Canis lupus familiaris: one gene and its partners. The main gene of each other region encodes a partner of the protein of the gene in region 6 in a complex. Links are inferred from orthologs where the notes say so. Each region holds a gene or a part of one and is shown on either strand. Other genes may lie near its edges. The genes, in order: E2F4, LIN54, MYBL2, LIN9, TFDP2 and RBL2.

Region 1 (2,862 bases), on a different chromosome or scaffold from region 6:
CTCAGCCCCACTCTCTGGGCTCAGGGGTGTGGGGCCTGGCTGCAACACCCGGGAGATTGCGGACAAGCTGATTGAGCTCAAGGCTGAAATCGAGGAGCTGCAGCAGCGGGAGCAAGAACTGGACAAGCACAAGGTGTGGGTGCAGCAGAGCATCCGGAATGTCACAGAGGACGTGCAGAACAGCTGATATCCTCCTGGCGGTCCCTGCTCCCGGGGAGTGGGCAAGGGGCCCTCTAGTCCAGCTGGGTTTGCTCTGTGGTGCCCTAGGCACTGTCCCTCTTGGGAGGATGATCCTGCAACTCCTGGGCAGGTCCCTGCCTTGGCCTCCCTCCTCAAACTCAAAGCCCCTCCCCAACCAACCGTGGTCTGTGATTCTTCCCTATGTAGACCCCAGGTCCCAGGACTTTGTCTGAGAGCTTTCATGTCAGATCTCTGCTAAAGAGCTGGGTTTTCTCTGTGGTCTGCCATTTGTCACCATAGGCAGGGCATCAGCCGTTCTCCTTAACCCCCACACCTTGGCCTACGTGACTCATGAGGACATCTGCAGATGCTTTGCTGGTGAGCAGAGCCTGGGTAGGGGGACATGGGGGTGGGGCTGGGCTGAGCCACAGCCTTGAGCAGTGGGCTCAGTGCCCAAGGAGAGTTTAGTCTCTTAAGAGGGTTCCATAGGCTTGCCCAAAGAGGAACCAGGCAGGGTAAGTCCTGGGTTTGAGGGTCACCAGGACTCCATGAAGACAAACCATATTGAAAGGGTACAAGAGTTCTGGGCTGGGTCCCTAGGTCAGTCCCCATCTGCACTGTTCCCTGGGCTTGGCTTCTCGGACATGACAGAGGCATAAGGGGGACAGAGCATGTGCGTACGCATATGCATGATGTTCCCTTGCAATCTATCAGTTATTTGCATTACAAATACAGGAACTGCTCCTTCTTCATCCTGCATCCCCTAAACTAGTTTGGAAAAGGAACATTGGCCTTGGCCAGAACATCTTCTAGGGACCAGCCCCATCAATCAAGGAGTGAGATGCCTATGGCCAGCAATCCTTCAGTCCACACGTTTGAGCCCAGATTTTCTGGTTACTAACCCTTGGGCTCTTGGGAAGAGAAAAGCTTTAGTTTTCTGCCTCAGCCACTGTGGTGGGGGTCGGGTGAGGCTTACTATCCTAAGAGACCATGATTTCCTCCCTTGCTCAAAGGAATAGGTACCCCTATTCTCAGATTAGATTGAGCCCATGGGCCCTGACTCCTCTTCCTTGTCATTCTAGGAGATACCCTCTTGGCCATCCGGGCCCCATCGGGAACCAGCCTCGAGGTGCCCATCCCAGAGGTGGGTGCTCAGCCCAAGCAGGCGGGGTTGATTGAGGGCGGGTGCTGGCTGTGGAGCCCGATAAGTCCCGGGTGGGGCAGGTAGGGGGTGGCCTGGACTTGGGGTTTATCTAGAAGAACGGGCAGCCTAGGGTGGGAGAGGACACTGGCCCCGGCCCAGGGTTAGGCTGGCAGGAGCCAAGCCTGCTTCTCATTCCGCCTGTCCCTTACCCCCCACCTCCAGGGCCTCAATGGACAGAAGAAATACCAGATTCACCTGAAGAGTGTGAGTGGCCCTATTGAAGTGCTGCTGGTAAACAAGGAGGCATGGAGCTCACCGCCTGTGGCAGTGCCTGTGCCACCACCAGAAGATCTGCTCCAGAGCCCACCTGCTGTCTCTACCCCTCCACCTCTGCCCAAGCCTACCCTGGCTCAGCCCCATGACACCTCACGCCCAAGCAGTCCCCAGCTGACCACCCCCACCCCTGTCACTGGCATCACTGAAGCCCAGGGGGTGCCCGGTCCAGCAGCTGAGATCGCAGGTGAGGTAATAACAGGCAGCTGGTGATAGAATGATTTCTGGGGCCCGGAAGGCAATACCTCTGTGTTGTGGAATGCGTGCTCAGAGTTGGAAGAGACCTTGGGGAGGATGTCCTTTTCCTAACCTCCAGCTGGCCTCCCCTTGCTGTGGTCATAAATGAGCCCTTTCTAATAGGCTCTGATGGTGTGAAGGGATATTAGTGGTAACAGTTTTCCCCAAGTCCACTTGTGTCTCCATTCAGCCCCCCTTGAAGTGTGGTCACAGGAGTCATGTCATTCATGAGTCTCTATCCTGCAGGCCTCATGCTCCTGTCTCCTTTGGTGGCTCATTTCTGCATTACCTCTGCAGGGCGCTGGCCAGGGGCAGGGTCGGGGGGACTGGCAGTGCTTATCTCTCCTTGGGCCTGGGAACCGGGACTCTTGTCACCCCTACTGTGGGTTCTAGCACAAAACTTCAGTATCCCACTTCCTGCTCCCAAGTGACTGGGTTCAGGGGATCTGGTTGCAGTGAGTGGTGGCCCTGGAACGGACAGCAAGGACGGTGGTGAGCTTGGCTCCCTCCCACCGGGCCTGGCAGCCCTGGACACTCGGCCGCTGCAGTCCTCTGCCCTACTAGACAGCAGCAGCAGCAGCAGCAGCAGCAGCAGCAACAGCAGCTCATCCGGACCCAACCCTTCTACCTCCTTTGAGCCCATCAAGGCAGACCCCACAGGAGGTGAGTGCATGTTCCCTGAGGGGCAGGGAATCTGGCCGCAGCCACTTCTAGGTCAGAAACAGCTGGGGCTGGAACCTAGCTCTCCTGTCTCCTCAGCCAGAGCTGGCCAGCCCCCACATCAAACCTTGTTTTGACCCCAGAGCTCTGCCAGTCTGAGTGAGGAGCCTGGGCTCCACAGAACTCCCAGGCCCCTCTCAAGCCTTGCCTCCACCCCCACCGCCCTACCTCCCCACTCCCTCCCCGGGCACTCAGGTGTCAGGAAGGCATAATAGCTGTCCTGGGGATGGGGTGTGGGAAGGCACTCA
Region 2 (3,500 bases), on a different chromosome or scaffold from region 6:
TGTGACACCTAGTAATGCATCTTATAGTCCACTTTCCAGGAGCAAGTCAGTGGCATCCTCCTCATATGTGAGGAAGAGTTGGATCACAGTCACAGCGCTCTCCAAATGCACTTGTATTCTGCTGACTTTCATTTCAACATCTCCCCCTTCTCTCTATATAGTCCTGTCCTCTCACCAAACTGATCTCAGTTTTCAAGTGTCTGACTTGCATATGTGACTTCTGCTGATATTTCAAATGCTAGGGATACATAAAAATAAATTCAGAAGTTTCTGTTAGCATCTTAAGATTTTGGAGATAGCCATTCTCATACTGAGTAAGATGTTTTTCAGTAGTTTTCAGAATGTTACAGGGCTATACATCTTAGACTAAATTATCCTTTTTGAAATGCAATGGCTCAATTTTTTTCCTCATACCTGAGTAACATACTGAGCTGGAAGCACTGCATAACCCACATTCCCTGTTCCCGGAGCTGGGGCCAGCACAGTGCCTGGTGGCAGGTTAGTGAGGTTTGGCTGGATCTGTGGCAGTGGTGTAGCAGGCATGATGAGCCGCTGTTGTGGCTGGCTGGTGGTAACTATTTGTGAAGTGGGATTGATGGGTTTGGGAACAACCTTAAAAAAAAAAAAAGTATACCCATGATTACAAAAATACATTTTACAGCTTCTCCATTCAGTATAAATCTCTCTTACGTGAATCTTAACTTTCAATTTTAAAAGTGAATTGTCTGTCTGGGAGATGCTGAAGAAAAAAATTCTGTGTCACTCACCTGTTTGACAGTCTGCGCTGAGACGAGTGGAACTGACATCCGCACTGGAGTGGTATTAACCACCACTGGCTTTGCTTTTTAAAAAAAGGGAGGAAAGGACAATTTATTTACAGGAAATAGTCCTTGAAACATTGAAGATACTTAGTTCTCTCAAGATATCCTCAAAGAGCTTAAAGAATTCCATTTGTTTCCAATTTGGAGCAATCTTTAATCAGGATAGTCACCTGTTAACATTCCTTAACCCATCTACCAGGAAACTTATGGCTACAGTAGCAGCTATAGTTTATCTGCTTTACAACAGAACATTTGTCATTTAAGACAGTCTACTGAAAACACTTCTATCTGTATTCAGATGACTTAACATTCCCTACGAAATCTAGTCAGTTGAAACGTCCTTTAAATAAAAAAAAACCTGCCATTCAGGAGCTTGAGTAACAATACTGTTCTATACTCTAATTGCCATGTTTGTATTAAAACCAGAGAAAATATCATTCTTGTATAATTCATTATTTACAGAGTACCTACTAAAAGGCAGCCTAGCGTGAGGGTAAAGAATATGGTCTCATAGGTCATAACACCCTGGAGACTCAAATCCCAATCCTTCTGCTTTCTAACTCTCTTTGCCTGTATCCTCATCTATAACATGGGGCTAGTACCTCCCTTACAGGGTATAAGGATTAAATATGTTAATCCATGAAAATTTATTAGAACAGCATCAAACAAAGAGTAAGTGCCCAATAAATGTTAGTTGCCATTAATGTATTGTTATTACGACCATTATAACTATGCAAATGGCATCGTGGACTATGTTCCAGAGAAACTAGAGTACAAGACACTTGCTCAAAGAGATTAAACTCAAGTAAAGCATATTAGACAAATACCAAATAAAATAAATACGGTTAAAACAGAGAAAGCGCTTTAGAGTCCAAGGGAGATAGAACGTATGTGTGATTGGCAGAGGATGGGAATACGAAAGGATGCATGAAGGGCACTGTGTATGAGATGGGTTGTGATCAATGGTCAGGTTGAGGAGAGGGCACACAGACTGGAGCAGGACATTCCAGGCAGAAGCAGGAAAAGTGGAGGCCCGATGCCGGAAAATAGCAAAGCACTTCACAAAATGGTGGTGAACAGATCAGATTAGTTGGAACCTAGGGTTAAATTAGGCAAGCACAAGTCTTGAATGTCAGGGTAGAAATGTATATATTTAATCTCTATTCGGGGTGGTGGTGGGGTATATCCACTTTATTTTAAAAATTTTTATTTAAATGCAATTAAATAACATTTAATGTATCATTGGCTTCAGAGGTAGAGGCCAGTGATTCATCAGTCTTCTAATCAGTATTTTTAAATTCAGTGGGCAGTGAGAAGTTTCTGAGGATTTCGAAGTACAGAAATATTACTGGACTGGCACAAAGAGAAACTATTTGGCAGCAGTGTGTAAGACAGGATGGAGTTTCATGAAACAAGGAAAATTAGAAGAGTATCTGAAGTGAGGATCTACCTGAGGTGACAGACAGGAGAGCGCAGTTGCAAGAGACAGGGTGGAGGTGAAAGGAATGTGAACTGCCAAGTGGATGGCAAGAAACTGCATGTGTTAAGGGGAGAATACATAAGTGAGCGTTAAGCTTCAAGTGACCAGGAAAACGACCGCTACCAGAACTAAAACCTCGAGAATGAGCTGATTTGAAGGGAAGATGAACCCGCCATAGAGAAAAGCTATGGTGAAATTCAGGAGAGACTGGCACTAGGCCTGTAAGTTTGGAGCACAGGTAGTACAATTTTTAATACCGTCTACTGCCATTTACAAAATCTAACAAAGGGATTTAAAAAAGACAGGAAGGATATCCCTTCCGGTTTTATTTATGCAAAAAGACCTAGAGCCTGGTCTGAAAGAGAGAGGTTGAGATAATGGGATCTATACTGGTCCCTGAACAATAAAAGAAAAAGAACAGACTTCCTTAAATAAAAATGCTTGGGAGACTTGATGGCTAAAGACACAAAGTTGAGCATCCTGGAAGAACATGTGACAGCATTCTGAACTAAAAGGGAGCGGGGGGGCCCCCCCCCTGCAGCAAGGGGACAGAAGGGGAAGGGGGAAATGGGATACCTCCAGAAGGTGCTCTAGTGCTGATGACCGCACCTCGCTCAATACACTAAAAATCACTGAACTGTATGCTTAACAAGGGTAAATTTTTATAGTAGACACGAATTGCATCTCAATAAGATGGTTATACAAAAAGAGTATAGGACCATGAATTACAGGAGCAGTGACATCTGATACCTGATTTAAAATTATTTGCTGTTCTGATTCTCTTCATTTGCTGTAGCTTTAGTCCTAATAACCACTGTAGACTGGTCTCAGCAATACTAAAAAGAATTAAAAGGTGAACTGAAAGGAATGAAAAGCCTTAATTCCTGCTTGGAACACAGAAGAGTAGACCCCCTACAGCACTTGCTCCTTGGAGAGGAGATGTTGCTCATCACTCCAGGAGCACACTGAGCAGCAGTTCTGAAGTGGCCCTAACAACCAGAAAGTAAGAACTTCCTGGTGGTCTCTGCAACAATGGGAAGGAGTGTGTGGCCTGCCCTCAGTCACATCAAGGGACAGAAGAACAGATGATTTCTATTTGGATAATAAAGAAAGGGTAACTGTCTCCATGTTGTGGGCAAGCTAGAGAATTTGGGAACTCTAGGTTTACATTAGCTTGACATCTGTGTGCTGAGTTTTCA
Region 3 (4,218 bases), on a different chromosome or scaffold from region 6:
CCCCCCCCCCCCTTTTTTAATGACTTTTTTTTGACAACTAAATTAGGTGTCCCACATTCTGGTTATTTTGATGATTTCATTATGGTGTCTATTATCCCATTATCTTTCCTTCAAATGCAAAGTTTGGTTTAAAGGCTTGACTAGCTTTGAATTAGACATTTTTGGCAAGAATATCTTCTAGCTGATGCTGTGTATGTTAGACTGGTCCTCTATTAATGCAATTAAGTTCAATAGACTGGTTAAGGTAGTGAGCAGGGGTGTTTTTAAATTCAAACATGAAAAGTTAACAGACTTGAACAAGGATTTCAACTTCACTCTTAAAACACACTCAGAAAGTGATGGTTATCAGCCCTGTTAATAGCGTAAAAACAACTGCTGGAGGTTTTATTTGTTGAACTCCAATAGGTCTCTGATCAGAGAAACAGGAGTGTCCACGCGAAGAGGAGGTGATACACGGAGGAAGGGGAGACAGTGTTGTTGGGAACGAGGGTCTCTGCTCTCCCTAAGACCAAGAGGGAAAATTGGTGGTTCTTAGGATTCACACATCTACGATGTGGCTTTTGCTAAACTATTTGTTTATAAAACCAAATATGAGAGGTTTTACTCAAACTCCGTGCCCTAATGAAATTTTAAAAATTAAGTAAAAATCCAAGTAGTACGGAACCGAGGGATGTTGAAAAGAATCCCACCAGCCACTTCGGCCACTCAGCTCCCCTTTCTAAGACCAATGTTCAAATTTCTCCCACAGGCTTCAACAGGAAGAAATATCTTCAAAGAGAGTAACAAATCTTGCTGATCCCAGGTTTTGCCACGCGGCCCACCACCTTACCCTGGCGCCCGGCTCCCGCAGCTCACGAGGTAATCGGGAGAGAAAGGAACTTCCTGGAGTCGCAAATGTCTACAAGCTGCGCGAAGGGCTCCCGCAGCGTCGGGCCGGGCCGCCCCCCCACCTCCCTGCCCCCTCTCCGGCCCTGGCCTTTCCCTTCAGCCGTCGGAAGCCTCCCGGCGACGACACCCCCGACTGCGCGGCGCCCGCGGGACCGCGCGCGACGTACGAGCGCGTGGCAAGGCCGCCGGGCTCCCGGCCTCCGAGCGCAGGCGCCCCTGCTGACGTCAGGCGGCGCGACTCCCGCCATGCTCCGCGCGGCGCCGGAGACGGGGCGCGCGCCGGGTGGTCCGGCGGCCCGGACTACCCCGAGGGCGCCTGGAGGCCGGCCGCGACCCTCGCTCCGGTTCACAGCGGCGGCCACGGACTGCCAGCTGCACTCCAAAGGCTAACTTTTCCTCCGTCTTCGCAGAAAAGGGCGGTAATGGCGCCGCACGCCCTGCGCGGCCGCGGGGCCTGGCCGGGCTGTGGAGGTGGTCTCCACCGCCGCGGGACAAGGTTTCGGCGTCCCTGCGAGTCGTCCCCGGCTCGGTTCCCGGACAAGTGGCCGCACTGCCAAAGAAAGCTAAGCTCGTGAGAGCGGATGCCCTGGAGGCCCAGGGCGGAGGTCAGGGTTGGGCTGGACGCGGCGCAGGCATCAAGCCGCCCGGGCCTCTGGCGCTCATCTCCGAGGCTCCTCCCCTTACAGGAACGCCGGAAACTTGCATTAGGTGGTTCCTAACGGTACGGGAGAGCTTGGTCCTGGTCTCGGGGAGTCGAAGCGTGGATGTCGTGCGCACAGGAGACTGTAAAGCGGTATTTATTAAGCAAAGATGCAGGGAAAGCTCAGAGGTGAGAGGGGCCCCGACAGGGTTGCCACTGAGGGCTGTAGGGTTGGTCTTTTGTTGAAAGCCCGCCAGGGAACCCAGATCCCTTTAAAAAAATTTTATTTATTTATTTATTTATTTATTTATTTATTTATTTATTTATTTATTTATTTATTTATTTATTTATTAATAAAATATTTTGTTTATTTATTCATGAGACACACGGAGAGAGAGGCAGAGACACAGGCAGAGGGAGAAGCCCGCCCCACGCAGGGAGCCCGACGCGGGACTCCATCCCAGGACCCCGGGATCACGCCCTGGGCTGAAGGCAGGAGCTAAACCTCTGAGCCACCCGGGCTGCCCCCAAATCCTTTCAATATTAATCTATTGATACCATCATTAAGTAAGGACCCGTGATAACATCTTTAATGGGCTTACTTCCTTTCTCGGGTCCAGTAATTCCTTGTTAGTCACAAGGAACTGTTTGTTACATCAAGACCCCACTTCTGGCACCTGGGACAGGATGGTCTGGTTTATTTATCTCTGGTTTACTTTCATCTCCACATTTTCGGGATTTTTGTGAGCCTAGTTCCATGGCCCCCTGCCTAGCCTCATTTGTCCCTAACTCCCTAAGAGACCGAATTCTGGACCTATGTAGTTGCATAAAGGAGGACACAGCAGGGGCTGGCATGATCTGGACAAACCCAGGCAGATCATGTTGAGTTGGTTCCCCTCTTTTCTGGTCAGTAACCCCATACCCCTCCCTGTGATCAAAGAGGGACCCTTAGAATATTACAAATAGAACATTATCATTCATTCCCCCATAATTCCTCTTATCCCTTTGTAATCCTTTCTCTGCAACCATTTTTTGCTTTTATTGGTTCTTTTATGCAATTTTTACAATTGTATGTAAATGACCTCATACGGTATCTACTCAGACATAATTATTTTGAGATTCATATTGTATCAGCAGTTGCTTTTTATTGTTTGGTAGTATTCCACTGTATGGTTATATTTATTTTATAATTATCATTTGTTTATTCGGTCATCTGTTGATGGACATTTGGGTTGTTTCCATTTTGGGCCTATTACAAATAAAACTATGCAAAACTCGTGTGAACATATGCGCTCATTTTTCTTGGCTCCGTGTGACTGGATGGTTTTAATTTGCATTTCCCTGATGACATGGTATTGAGCATCTTTTTATGTGTTGCCCCTGGATATATTTTGGAGGTAGAGTTTTGAGGGTAGAGCCGATACGATTTGCAGAAAGATCCGGTAAGTGATGTGAGAGAAGACTCAAAAATGACTGCAACTCTGGCCAATCCCTGAGGACTTAACAATATTGCTTCTTCCTAGCATGCACTGGCTGTTCCCTCTGCCTGAAGTGTTACTCCCCTTATTGGCTACCTTGCAAATTCCCAAATCACCAAAGTCTGAATAACCTTTATTGTGGGCATCCACAGTGTGCAGTTTGTCTTTACCTTTATAGATTTAATTTTCTGTTCACTCATTTCCCTATTAGCTGATGGGCTTTTGGAGAGTTTTTGTCCATGCAACTCCTCTACCTATCAAGTAGTTCACGTGGAGAAGGGTGGAGGTTTCCTTCTGGGGTTGTGTTTCATAGCCTCAGGGACAAGAAGACAGCAGTCGTCTCTGCCTTAAGGCAGGCCTGCTCAGGCCACCCAATTAAACTCTGTTTAAATATCCTGCTGGCTGTTGAGCTGGCCCTGGATTAGGACACCCAAGGTCATTCTCTTCCTTTGTGTCCCTTACAAATTTTAAGTCCTCCCAGTAGAATGACTTAAGGCTGGGGCACTGGGTAAAGTCTAGAATAACGGGATGGGGTCTTTATTCTTTTCAAGGTAGTTTCCTCTTAAGACAGGGGCCCCTTGTCCCTGCCTTCTGAGTAGCCTTCATTATTAATGTAACACAACTAAAACTAAAGTAGTACTTCCTATGGGCTAGGAATTATTCTCAATGGTTTACACATATTTATTTAATCCTACAACCACCCTACGAAGTAGGTGGGTGTAGTGATTAAGAGCATAGGCTCTCGGGCGCCTGGGTGGCTCAGTTGGTTAAGCTCTGCCTTTGGCTCAGGTCATGATCCCAGGATTCTGGGATGGAGCCCTGTGAGCGAGTCTGCTTCTCTCTCTGCCCCTCTCCCTCTGCTATTTGCTCCCTGCTTGTGCTTGCTTCCTCTCTCTTTCTCTTAAAATAAATATAAAATCTCTAAAAAATACAGACTAGGGGTGCCTGCCTGGGTGGCTCGGTGGTTGAGCATCTGCCTTTGGCTCCAGTGGTAATCCTGGGGTCCTGGGATTGAGGGAGCCAAAGGTCCCAGAGGGAGCCTGCTTCTCCCTCTGCCTATGTCAATGCCTCTCTCTGTGTCTCTCATGAATAAATAAATGAAGTCTTTAAAAACCTAAAAGGTATAGACTCAAACTAGATAGCCTACGCTCAGGTTTGAATCCCTGCTTTGCCATTTGCCTGGAGTAGTATGGGTAAGGGGAAGGGAGAGAG
Region 4 (3,500 bases), on a different chromosome or scaffold from region 6:
TTTATTCATGAGAGACACAGAGAGAGAGAGAGGCAGAGACATAGGCAGAGGGAGAAACAGGCTCCATGCAAGGAGCCCGATGTGGGATTCGATCCCGGGACTCAGGGATCACGCCCTGGGCCGAAGGCAGGCACTAAACTGCTGAGCCACCCAGGTATCCCCCTAATTTCTTTTTAAAAGACCTTATTGAAGTCTAATCTCTGTATCCAACGTGAGGCTCAGATTTACAGTCCCAAAATCAAGAGTCACATGCTCTACGTACTGACCCAGCCATGCCCCCCTGAAATTGTTTTATTTTCGTCCACTGATTTTTCCATAGTTTATGAGGCTTTCAGGGTATCTTGGTGTGATCTGAGTTCTAGAATTCCCAAGAACTGATATAACCCTCTAGAGTCCCTATTTTTCTAAAATTTACTTAATCTCAAAGAGGACTCCTTGCTGTTGGTATTACCTTTGGGACAAAGATACTTTGTAGCTAACATTGTTCATCCTCACTGGATGTAATGACAGTGCCAAGATATACTAGGATACTCATATGTGAGATTTAGCAAAAATCAGAGTCTCCTGGAATCTCCAGCACAGACATTTCTTGAGTAAATTGTATACATTAATTGTTTCACAAATGCCACTTTTAGTTTTAACAGTTTGAAATTGTGCCAATTTTGTATATGTCCTGGGTAGAAGTGAAAGATGCATTTGAGGATTAGTATAATGTTGAAAATTGTAAAGCATATTTTGAATTTATGCCTCTGAAATAATTGTGATTAACCACTAAATTACCATTTCTGTCTTACAGACCACTCTTTGAAGGTGATAATGACTTCTGTGTATGTCTGAAGGAATCTTTTCCTAATTTAAAAACAAGAAAGTTAACAAGAGTAGAATGGGGAAAAATCAGGCGACTTATGGGAAAACCACGGAGGTAAAAATATTTTTATTTAAAATAAACCAGTAAGTTAGTTGGTAGTATAATTACCACATTGATTACTTTTCATCTTTGCAAAGACTAGTCCTGAAACATAACTTTTCAGAATCATTATATTTTAAATATATCCTGATAACTAGCTTTTTTTTTTTTTAATTTTTATTTATTTATGATAGTCACAGAGAGAGAGAGAGAGAGAGAGAGGCAGAGACACAGGCAGAGGGAGAAGCAGGCTCCATGCACTGGGAGCCCGATGTGGGATTCGATCCTGGGTCTCCAGGATCGCGCCCTAGGCCAAAGGCAGGCGCCAAACCGCTGCGCCACCCAGGGATCCCATAACTAGCTTTAATATAGGTGCTTTTTATATCGATGCATCTTAAAATTAAATACAGTTTCATTTTTCAAATTATAGGATTCGAACATAATTTTCTTACATTCTCTATGCCCCACTATGTTCCAAAAAATATTTAAGAATACACTAGAAAATATATTTGATCCTTTAACAATATGGAGGTTAGGGATGCCGACCCTGCACAGTCAAATCTTCATATAACTTTTGACTCCCCCCAAAACCTAACTACTAGTAGTTTACTATTGACTGGAAATCTTACTGATAATATAAACAGTCAATAACACATATATATTACTGTGTTCTTACAATAAAATAAGCTGGAGAAAAGAAAATGGTATTAAGAAAATCATAAGAACGGAAGATACATTTATAGTACCATACTATATTAAAAAATAAAATCCATGCATAAGTGGACCTGAGTGGTCACATCCTTGTTTTTTAGGAGTACACTATATTTAATGAAGCTCTCGGGGTATACTAATACATTGTTATCTTTTTAGAAACCATCTATCACCGCAAAAGCCTTCTTACATATTTTACTTTATATAAAAACAAGATAAAGGGGTAGGGTGAGATGGGTGAAGGGGATCAAAAGATAGAACCTTGCAGTTATGAGTCATGGAATGTAATGTATAGTGTGATGACTATAGTTAATAGTATTGTAAAGCTTTTTTTAAAAAAAGATTTTATTTATTTATTAGACTGTGAGAGAGCATGAGTGAAGGGTGGGGAGAGGGAGAGGGAGAAGCAGGCTCCCCACTGAACAGGGAGTCTGATGTGGGGCTCGATCCCAGGACCCCGAGATCATGACCTGAGCCAAAGGCAGATGCTTAACTGAGCCACCCAAGTGGCTGTAAAGCATATTTTAAAGTTGCTGACGGTAGATCTTAAAAGTTCTTATCACAAGAAAAAAAAATTGTAACTATATATGGTGACAGATGTTAACTAGACTTAGTGTGGTGATCATTTCACAATATATACAAATATTGAATCATTCTCTTGTACACCTGAAGGTTACATAGTGTCTTATATATCTATTATACCTCAGTAAAACAAAAACGCATTCTATCTAAAAACAAAAACAGAAAAACCCCAGAAAGAAAAATCAAGTGAATCTCTCCAATATGTTATTTTCTGAAAATTACTTTTCATGTGAAATGACTTTTCCCTTTGTAGTGTTATCTTGCTTTCTAACATAGCCACCCAGACATCCCTGGCTTCTTTGGTTTCTTAAAAGGGTTAAACATACACTGACCATACGACCCCGCCATTCCACTCTTAGGTATTTAGTTAAGAGAAATGAAAGCCTATATTTATACAAAAACCTATACACAGGGACACCTGGGTGGCTCAGCAGCTAAGTGTCTGTCTGTCTTCGGCTCAGGCATGATCCTGGAGTCCCAGAATCGAGTCCCACATCAGGTTCCCTGCATGGAGTCTGCTTTTCCCTCTGCCTATGTGTCTGCCTCTCTCTCTCTCTCTCTCTCTCTCTCTCCCTCTCTCTCTGTCTCTAGTGAACAAATAAATAAAATCTTAAAAAAAAACCAAACCTATACACATAAATGTTCATATCAACTTTGTTGTAATAGCGCCAAACTGAAAATAATACAAATGTCCACCAGTAGGTGAATGGGTAAACGGTGGCCATTCATAGAAATGGATACTGTTCTCCAATAAAAAGAATGAACCATTGGTACATGTAACAACACAGATTAATCTTGGAATAATTCTGCTGAGTGAAAGAAGCCTGACAAAAGAGTTCATTCTACATGATTTCATTTGTATAAGATTTTATTTTTATTTATTTATTTATTTTGTATAAGATTTTAAAAGGTAGAAACTATAATGACTGAGAGCACTTCAGCAATTGCTTGAGAAGTAGGGGTACAGAAATGGGAGGGATGCGAAGGAGGGATAATAAAATGCCACAAGGAAACTTTGTGGAGTGATTGATGTCTTCAAATGTTCATTATCTTGTCTGTGATGATTGTTTTATGGATATATATTTTGTGACACGAAAGCTATATTTAAGTTACTTTGATTCATCCCAGTATTTGAAAATAGAAGTAAAACAGTCCCTAAAGATAAGAGTAAATTCGGTATTTATGCTTCAAGGCAGGAAGTATGATTAAACATTTACACAGTGGTAAGCCTCATCTTTAGTTCTATATTGGTGTGCTCATGGGGTCACAGGGAAAATATCATGTTCTTCTGAATAGAATA
Region 5 (4,082 bases), on a different chromosome or scaffold from region 6:
AATAAACACTATTGATTTGTTCCTGGAAAATGCGTGGTAATCACTCCACTGAGGCTTTTGCATTTTAGAATCGGTCCAAAGAGTACTGCATTTAACATTCCCCAACTCCTAGGAGTTTATCTATGTACAGTTTTGCAGAAATTGTCTCTCCACCCCACCTCAGAGAAAAGTCCAAAGGTGCTCTTTCACTTCCCTCACCTCCTTTAGATATTTCCTTAAATGGCATCTCTTCTGCCGCCTTCCCTGAGCACCCTATTTAATACAAGCCATCCCTCAAACACCTTTTCTGCTTATTCCTACCCCCCCACCATAGCACCTATCACATAATAGTTTACATTTTGCTTTTTTTCTTTTGCATATTTTCTTTCCCACCCCACGAGAATGGGAAAGAAAGCTCCTACGTGATTTTTCACAAAGGCACTGAATTGATAGACGAAATGTTTTAATTTTGAACAAAATGGGGCAGGTATTTGGGGGTGTGGGCTGCAATCTTCTCTTCAGCGTCTAAATGACATGGTGACCTGACCCGGTTTGGATTTTATTTGCCTGGGTATTGAGGAACCCACATCCCCAAGTGGTCTCTAACCGATTGTCGGAATAATTAATTGCGGGATGCCCACACGTGGCCTCAAAGTCACTTGTCCCCACCCTCCTCCTCGCGCTGCCCCCCGGGGGGGAGCCATCGAGGGCCTGGGGACCCAGATATAACCTCCTTAGTTCCTTTTTTTCCGAGCGGGAGAGAGAGATGGGGTTTTCCTGCTCCGGGCCTGGGGGATGGGGTTGGATGGAAAAGTCAGGATTCTGCCCCAAGCCCGGGGGAATGGGCGTGTCCACGAATTTTAGGCCTCAGGCCTGCAGCCCGCGCCGCCCGCGGCTGGGGAGCGGAGGGTCGGGTCGCCGCGGGGCAGCCCCTGCGACGCTCCTGCGAGCGGCCGAGCCCCGGGCCGAGCGCCGCAGGCCCCGCCCCCTCAGCGCGCGGCCCCCTCCCCTGCTCGGGAGGCCCGGGGGCGGGGTTTGTTTACTCCGTGCACGCACCGCCGGCCTGGCCAATCCGGGGGCAGCGGCGCCTTACGTCACTCGCGCCGAGAGCCAATCGGGGCTCACCGTGCTGCTCCGCCGCCAAAGCTCGCGCGGGGGAAGCGGGGCCGTGGCCGGGTTGGGCGAGGGCGACCAGGCGGCGGGGATCTGGGCTGCGGCCGCCGCCGCTTCTCGGCACGCGGGCGCGCTCCGAGCCTTCCTTTTTGGGCAGCCTCGCGGGCGCACGCACGGCCGGCGTCCCAGGGCCGCGGACTCGCGGGCCTCCGCCGGGCAGGCCGCGGATCGCCCACCCCTTCCCCCAGGGTGAGTCCGTCGGGACGCGGGCGCCACCGGAGCGGAGGCGCCGAGCCGCGCCCCAGGCTCGGAAGAACAGCCCTGAGCGGCCGCCTCGTCCTCTGCAGCCGAGCGGCGGTAAGGTCCGGGGCGCGGGCGCGGGCGCGGGCCGCGTGCGGAGGGCCTCCGGCCCCGGCCCGGCCCCTCGTGTTCCCGGGCAGCCCCCCCCCCCCCCAGGCCGTCTGTTTATTCCCACGGCGCCCCCGGGCCGGGCCGAGTCCCCCCTGAGTGGGGGTGGGGTGGGGTGGGGTGGGGTGGGGTGGGGGGCGGGACCCGGAGAGCCCCTCCCCCCTTCCCCTCCCCCCGCGCCCCGGGAGGGGGCGGCGACCCCGCGTCACGCCTCGGGCGGCGGGCGAAGGGCTGCTGTCTCCTCTCGGGTCTCTTCAGGTCTTCAGGGCAGAACGATGGCTTCTAAGTCTGGTTTTCCGACTTTTCCGCCGCCCATGACTCACACGCCTCCATCTGTCCCCGCCAGGTGTATTTCGGAGCCGCAAAGCTCCGTGCGCTTGCGAGAACCTCCCATGTCGCCCAAGGGAACTTCCCTCTAGAGTGGAGGGTCGCCTCGGGGGCCCGCGCGCCTGGAGGAATTGCCCAGGGCTAGGACCCCCTCCCCCGCTGGAAAATAGAGAGGTTTTGCAGGATCGGCTCGGGGACACGGTTCCGACCGGCCTCTGGCTCCAACTTTTGTTGTCTTGCCTCGTGGGGGTCTGCAACCGCCTTTTCCAGGTGTTTCGAGGACCAGCCTGCGGAGCATCTGGAACGAGCTCGGCCGGGTCAGGCGCCCCGCAGGAGTTGGGCGCGTTTGTTCCGGTCTCCCGCGAACGCGGGTTCAGAGAAGCGCCCCGTATTGTTTCTCTTTTTTTTTTTTTTTTCTGTCGAAACAGTTAACAGGCTCATCCCTTTTCATATTTGCTGCTGAAGCTCCCTTTGAGCCTTTGGTACGTTTCTCTTCCTCATTCTATCTCACAGGGCTCAGACTCCCTGTCCCACTTATTTGCTCTCTTTTTAGTAAGTCAGTAGCTCATTCTCTTCCTTCCTTCCCCTTTCTCCCCTAAATCTTAGTTTTGTGAATTTTCATTTGACTTCGGTAGCTTGATTTTTCTTCCTTTCTTCCCCCCCCCCCCCCCCCCGGGCCACTCTTCTTTTAATGGTTCGAGATGATCTTCACCCAAAAAATACAAAGTTATTCATTTGCCCTCTGTTAGGACTGTAACCATGATCCAGGCTGTGCTCAGAATTAAACGCAAGATAATGTAGTTGATCTGACATTGCATGTTGCTTTTCTGTTTCCTTGGCTAGCCTATAATCTAGCTAAAGCTTCGTCACTATCCTATTGCTATGATAAATCTTTAATAGTAGCGTCCATTCTCGAGTAACACCGGGAGAAAAATCAAATGCCTAGACCCCAGATTCTATCACCCTCGTGTACTGGCTCTGGATGCTTTTATTTATTAGAACATCTTGTGCCTGGAACTAGAGTCTGGTCTACTGGCAGACACGGTGTCTGTAGCACTGTTCTGGCCGTACAGTTGCAGTTTCAGCAATGTGGCACCTATATTTAATAAAGGCTCAACGCTTATTCCACGTACTTTTGAGTCCTCTTTATTTCTAGCGGTTTAAGAGGGAAAACGGAATTTTTCAAGTGTGTAATACTTCATATTACCAGTCTGTGATCCTGTAACTTTCTCCTCCACTCTTTTAAATGTGTAGTCCGAGTGGCACTTTTCAAAGTTTTTCCCTTGCAGCCAAAAACTCTTAACTGTCTGAGCTGTGTGCTCTCAATGCAAATTGAAATTGGACGTACAGATGATTATCTCCAATGTGAGAAGAATTTGTGACTGAAAATTATGCACTAAAAGATACTTTAAAGGATTCAAAGACTTTTTTATAATTAGGAATTTAAATGTGAAGGGACTTTTTTTTTTTAACATGATAGAAAAACTGGCTTTGTCCTGCTGTTGCTAATTTATGTTTTATATTTAAAAAATGCATGATATTTACGTTGCACCACAGCATTTTAAAGCCCTTTTAGATATTTGAAAGTTTTAATTTTATCTTATTTTTTAAATTTTTTATTTTATTTTTATTTATTTATGATAGTCACAGAGAGAGAGAGAGAGAGAGGCAGAGACATAGGCTGAGGGAGAAGCGGGCTCCATGTACTGGGATGCCCGACGTGGGATTCGATCCCTGGTCTCCAGGATCGCGCCCTGGGCCAAAGGCGGGCGCTAAACCACTGCGCCACCCAGGGATCCCTATTTGAAAGTTTTTAGAACGCTATGAGGAAACAGACTAAGCAAAAATTAAATTCATGGCAAAGGTAGTGAATTCGAACATAAATATTCTGACTTCTATTGTTAGTCTGTCATTCTTAACAGTTAACTCAGAAATAAGATAAAAAGGAAGAGTTTATCTCTCTCTTTGTCTCTCATGAATAAATGAAATCTTTTTAAAAAAAAAAAAAGGAAGAGTTTATTTATGTTTTTTTTAAGATTTTATTTGTTTATTTGACAGAGAGAGCACAAGGAGAGCGAGCTGCAGAGGGAGAGGGAGAAGCAGCCTCCCCACTGAGCAGGGAGCCCCACATGGGGCTTGATCCCAGGGCTTTGATATCATGACCTGAGCCAAAGGCAGGTGCTTAACTGACTTGAGCCACCCAGGCACCCCAAGAAGGGAGCGTTTAAAATAAAGCTTTGTTTGTTTGTTTGTTG
Region 6 (3,500 bases):
AATTACTCAAAATGGATCAAAGACCTAAATGTAAGAGATAAGACTATAAAACTCTTGGAAGAAAACATAAATATCGATGACCTTGGACATAACAATGTATTCTTAGACACCAAAAGTTCAAGCAACAAAGAAAAAATATAAAAATTGACTTAATCAAAATTAAAAACTATATGGTTCAAATAACACCATCAAGTAAGTGGAAAAACACCCAAAGTATCTACAAATATCTGCAGAATATATAAACTACAGCTCAACCATAGAAAAGCACAAAACAATCCAAATAAAAAATGGACAAAGTATTTAAACTGGTATTTCACCAAAGATATACAAATGACCAGCAGACAAATGATTTCCTGATGGCCAGAATAAAAAACCCAAATAATAGTCAATAAGCACAATAAAAGACATTCAACATCATGAATCATTAGGAAAATAAACATCAAAACCACCATAATGGGGGCAGCCCAGTGGCTCAGTGGTTTAGCGCCACCTTCAGTCCAGGGCTGATCCTGGAGACTCAGGATCGAGTCCCACATCAGGCTCCCTGCATGGAGCCTGCTTCTCCCTCTGCCTCCTGTCTGCCTCTCTCTCTCTCTCTCTCTCTCTCTCTCTCTCATGAATAAATAAAATCTTAAAAAAAAAAACAACCCATAATGTATCAATCAATACTGAGATGACTATAATAAAAAATTGAAAAGCTGGCAAGGATGTAGAAAAATTAGAACTCTAATGCACTGCTAGTGGGAATGTAAAATGGTGCAGCTGCTGTCAAAAACACGGCAAGTTTCTCAAAAAACTAAACCTAAAATTACCATATGACCCAGCAATTCCACTTTTGGGTATATGCCTAAAAGAATGAAACTAAAAGTTCAACAAGATATTCATACACTCATCTTCATAGTAGCACAATTCACCATAGCTAAAAAGTGGAAGCTACCCAAGTGGCCATCAATGGATGAATGGATAAACAAAATGTGATATGTCCACACTATGGAGTATTACCCAGCCTTAAAAAGGAAGAAAATTATAACTCATGTTACAACACAGAAAGATCTTGAGGATGTTATACTAACTGAAATAAACCAGTCACGAAAAGACAAATACTGTAGGACTCCTAGAGGCACCCAGAATAGTCAAATTCATAGAGACAGAAAGTAGAATGATGGGTGCCAGGAGCTGAGGGAGGGGGAATGCAAAGAACCTATTTAATAAGTAAGTAGTTTTATTCTGTAGGGATGGAAATGTTTTGGAACAAGATAAAGGCTGGGTGTACAAGATTGGGAATGTACTAAGTACCACTGAATTGTTCATTTAAAAATGGTTGATTTATATGAATTTCACATCAATAAATTATTTTAGAAAAATGTCTGATAATAAAAAGTGCTAATGAGAAGGTGGAGAAATGAAGACTTCATATACTGCTAGCAGAAATACAAAATGCTGCAGTGACTTTGGAAAAACAGTCTGGCAGCTCCTCAAATGGTTAAACACAGTATAAGACCTTGCAATCCACCACCTTTAGGTATATAGAAAAGAGAAATGAAAACATGTCTATGCAAAAACTTGTACACAAATGTTCATAGCATTATTCATGATAGTCAAAAAGTGAAAATACCCGGATGGCCATCAATTAACAGATAATCAAAATGTCATATATTTATACAATGGAATATTATGTTCTAAAATTTACTGTGGTGAAGGTTGCACATATCTATAAATGTACTAAAAACCACTGAGCTGTACATTTTAAGTGAGCAAACCAAGGGGTGCCTGGGTGGCTCAGTCACTTAAGCATCCAACTCTTGATCTCAGCTCAGGTCTTCATCTCAGAGTTGTTAGTTCAAGCCCCACACTGGGTGTGGGGACTATTTGAATGAATGAATGAATGAATGAATGAATGAGTGAATTATAGCTCAACAAAACTGTTAAAAGTGTTCTGAGAGTAAGGAAGTAGCATCTTTACTTTTTCCTTTTATATTCCAAATGGTACTCACCTTTGCCATCACATAAATGGCACACATCAACAGCTGGTCCAGGTGTCTGTCCATCATAAGTTCAGGACACTGAATTATGGAGAATTCAAAACAGGTCCAGATTTTTTTCCTCAGTTCATCTGAAATATCCAGTTTAGCACAAAGATCCCGAAGGCGGACACCTGCCAAGTGGTAAACCTGGTAGATAAACAAAAACATTTCAAAGTTTGTTTACCTAACACTTATACTTCCCAAGCTTATACCCTGATAAGGGTACATGAAAAATTACCTTTCTAAAGAAGAGTGATAAAGAGCTGGTCTTCCTGGGTCTAATACTGCTGCCAGTTAAAGGTGGGCCTTGTTTCTGCTGATGTCCACCTGGGGAAATCTGTTGAATGGCCACCTGACCAGGGACTTGCAAGGTTGTTCCTGTCACCTGTTGAGAGCTCAAACTTCCAGCCAGGGCCTGAGCACTGAGGGGCTGGATGGAGCCAGTCACGGCTTGTGCCTGCCCTCCAACATTGACCTGGACTGGGAAGAACGTTATCCCTCCATTTTCATTCGCAATACCTATAGTTTGTTAGGGAGAAGATGAGGATGATGAAAAGTTCTCTAGGCACGGGTTTCCAGTTTCTCCCCTCCTAGCCTCCTTCCCCCCCCCCCCCGCCCCCTTATCTCCTGTTGTCATTCCAGCCAAATCTCAGGTGACTTTCCAATAAATGCCACCGAGAAAGAACTCAATATTCAACTCTGCCTTCCTTACCTTGTACAGGAATGGTCACTGTTTGTCCATTGTTGGCTGTGACAGTGGCTGTTGCCATAGTGACCAAAGTCTGTCCAGGAACTGGTGTGACAGAAACAGTCTCCCCAGATACATTCTGCACAGGGACAGCATTGACGAGGGGTTGTGGGGGAATGCGCCCAGGTGTCCCTCCATCAGAAGGGCTATCATTCTCAACAAATAGCCGCCTTCTGGTAGAGCTGGCTGTTGGGGAGCTGTATCTATCATATAATGTGGCTGGAGATGTTATGCCTAGGGTCAGAAAAAAAAAAAAAATCAAACAAATGGTTTAACTCAAGGAAACTGAGATCTAACTTCCAGCCAAGCTCTTAAGTTCAAAACTAATCAGTATCTGAAATACTTCATAAACAAAAATTACAGGGATCATATTCATAAGTATATTCAACTAATGAAAATTCAACCACACACTATTAAGAGCAAAATTTAAACACAAGAATTTTTCTCTATTTGTTTCACAATGCTCCCTACTTTATTCCAGCTCCTGCTAAATCAAACTCTGCCCTCTACTACTACATAATCCTGATGACTTAGGGGCAATTTAAACAATTATTCTATTTTCCTATGATACTTTTGACCATATTCAATTTCTACCTAACACTCATGTACAATGTGATTTTCACTGTAAAGCCACTACTCAAAACAAGGGGACTTGATATTACTAGGACATCATCTGGGAGCATTCCCCCCCAGTTTTATCAATTTGCATCTTTGTCTTTTTCCATGTA

What was found.
Region 1: RBL2 (region 6) and E2F4 share a complex: the UniProt entries of both Homo sapiens proteins name them as parts of the DREAM complex. The link is inferred for Canis lupus familiaris from reciprocal best matches to the Homo sapiens genes RBL2 and E2F4.
Region 2: RBL2 (region 6) and LIN54 share a complex: the UniProt entries of both Homo sapiens proteins name them as parts of the DREAM complex. The link is inferred for Canis lupus familiaris from reciprocal best matches to the Homo sapiens genes RBL2 and LIN54.
Region 3: RBL2 (region 6) and MYBL2 share a complex: the UniProt entries of both Homo sapiens proteins name them as parts of the DREAM complex. The link is inferred for Canis lupus familiaris from reciprocal best matches to the Homo sapiens genes RBL2 and MYBL2.
Region 4: RBL2 (region 6) and LIN9 share a complex: the UniProt entries of both Homo sapiens proteins name them as parts of the DREAM complex. The link is inferred for Canis lupus familiaris from reciprocal best matches to the Homo sapiens genes RBL2 and LIN9.
Region 5: RBL2 (region 6) and TFDP2 share a complex: the UniProt entries of both Homo sapiens proteins name them as parts of the DREAM complex. The link is inferred for Canis lupus familiaris from reciprocal best matches to the Homo sapiens genes RBL2 and TFDP2.

What each region holds. Positions count from the first base shown.
Region 1 is NC_049226.1:82,757,757-82,760,618, reverse strand, and holds part of E2F4 (transcription factor E2F4), read left to right. Parts: intron 1-24; coding exon 25-186; intron 187-514; coding exon 515-558; intron 559-1,262; coding exon 1,263-1,324; intron 1,325-1,546; coding exon 1,547-1,844; intron 1,845-2,350; coding exon 2,351-2,557; intron 2,558-2,862. UniProt on the Homo sapiens protein: Transcription activator that binds DNA cooperatively with DP proteins through the E2 recognition site, 5'-TTTC[CG]CGC-3' found in the promoter region of a number of genes whose products are involved in cell cycle regulation or in DNA replication.
Region 2 is NC_049253.1:33,112,919-33,116,418, reverse strand, and holds part of LIN54 (protein lin-54 homolog), read right to left. Parts: intron 842-3,500; coding exon 768-841; intron 613-767; coding exon 415-612; intron 1-414. UniProt on the Homo sapiens protein: Component of the DREAM complex, a multiprotein complex that can both act as a transcription activator or repressor depending on the context. In G0 phase, the complex binds to more than 800 promoters and is required for repression of E2F target genes.
Region 3 is NC_049245.1:31,961,586-31,965,803, forward strand, and holds the start of MYBL2 (myb-related protein B), read left to right. Parts: upstream 1-1,418; 5' UTR 1,419-1,652; coding exon 1,653-1,717; intron 1,718-4,218. UniProt on the Homo sapiens protein: Transcription factor involved in the regulation of cell survival, proliferation, and differentiation. Transactivates the expression of the CLU gene.
Region 4 is NC_049228.1:38,546,401-38,549,900, forward strand, and holds part of LIN9 (protein lin-9 homolog), read left to right. Parts: intron 1-796; coding exon 797-922; intron 923-3,500. UniProt on the Homo sapiens protein: Acts as a tumor suppressor. Inhibits DNA synthesis. Its ability to inhibit oncogenic transformation is mediated through its association with RB1. Plays a role in the expression of genes required for the G1/S transition.
Region 5 is NC_049244.1:38,451,248-38,455,329, reverse strand, and holds the start of TFDP2 (transcription factor Dp-2), read left to right. Parts: upstream 1-1,282; 5' UTR 1,283-1,449; intron 1,450-4,082. UniProt on the Homo sapiens protein: Can stimulate E2F-dependent transcription.
Region 6 is NC_049223.1:61,545,706-61,549,205, forward strand, and holds part of RBL2 (retinoblastoma-like protein 2), read right to left. Parts: intron 3,007-3,500; coding exon 2,737-3,006; intron 2,544-2,736; coding exon 2,263-2,543; intron 2,172-2,262; coding exon 1,995-2,171; intron 1-1,994. UniProt on the Homo sapiens protein: Key regulator of entry into cell division. Directly involved in heterochromatin formation by maintaining overall chromatin structure and, in particular, that of constitutive heterochromatin by stabilizing histone methylation.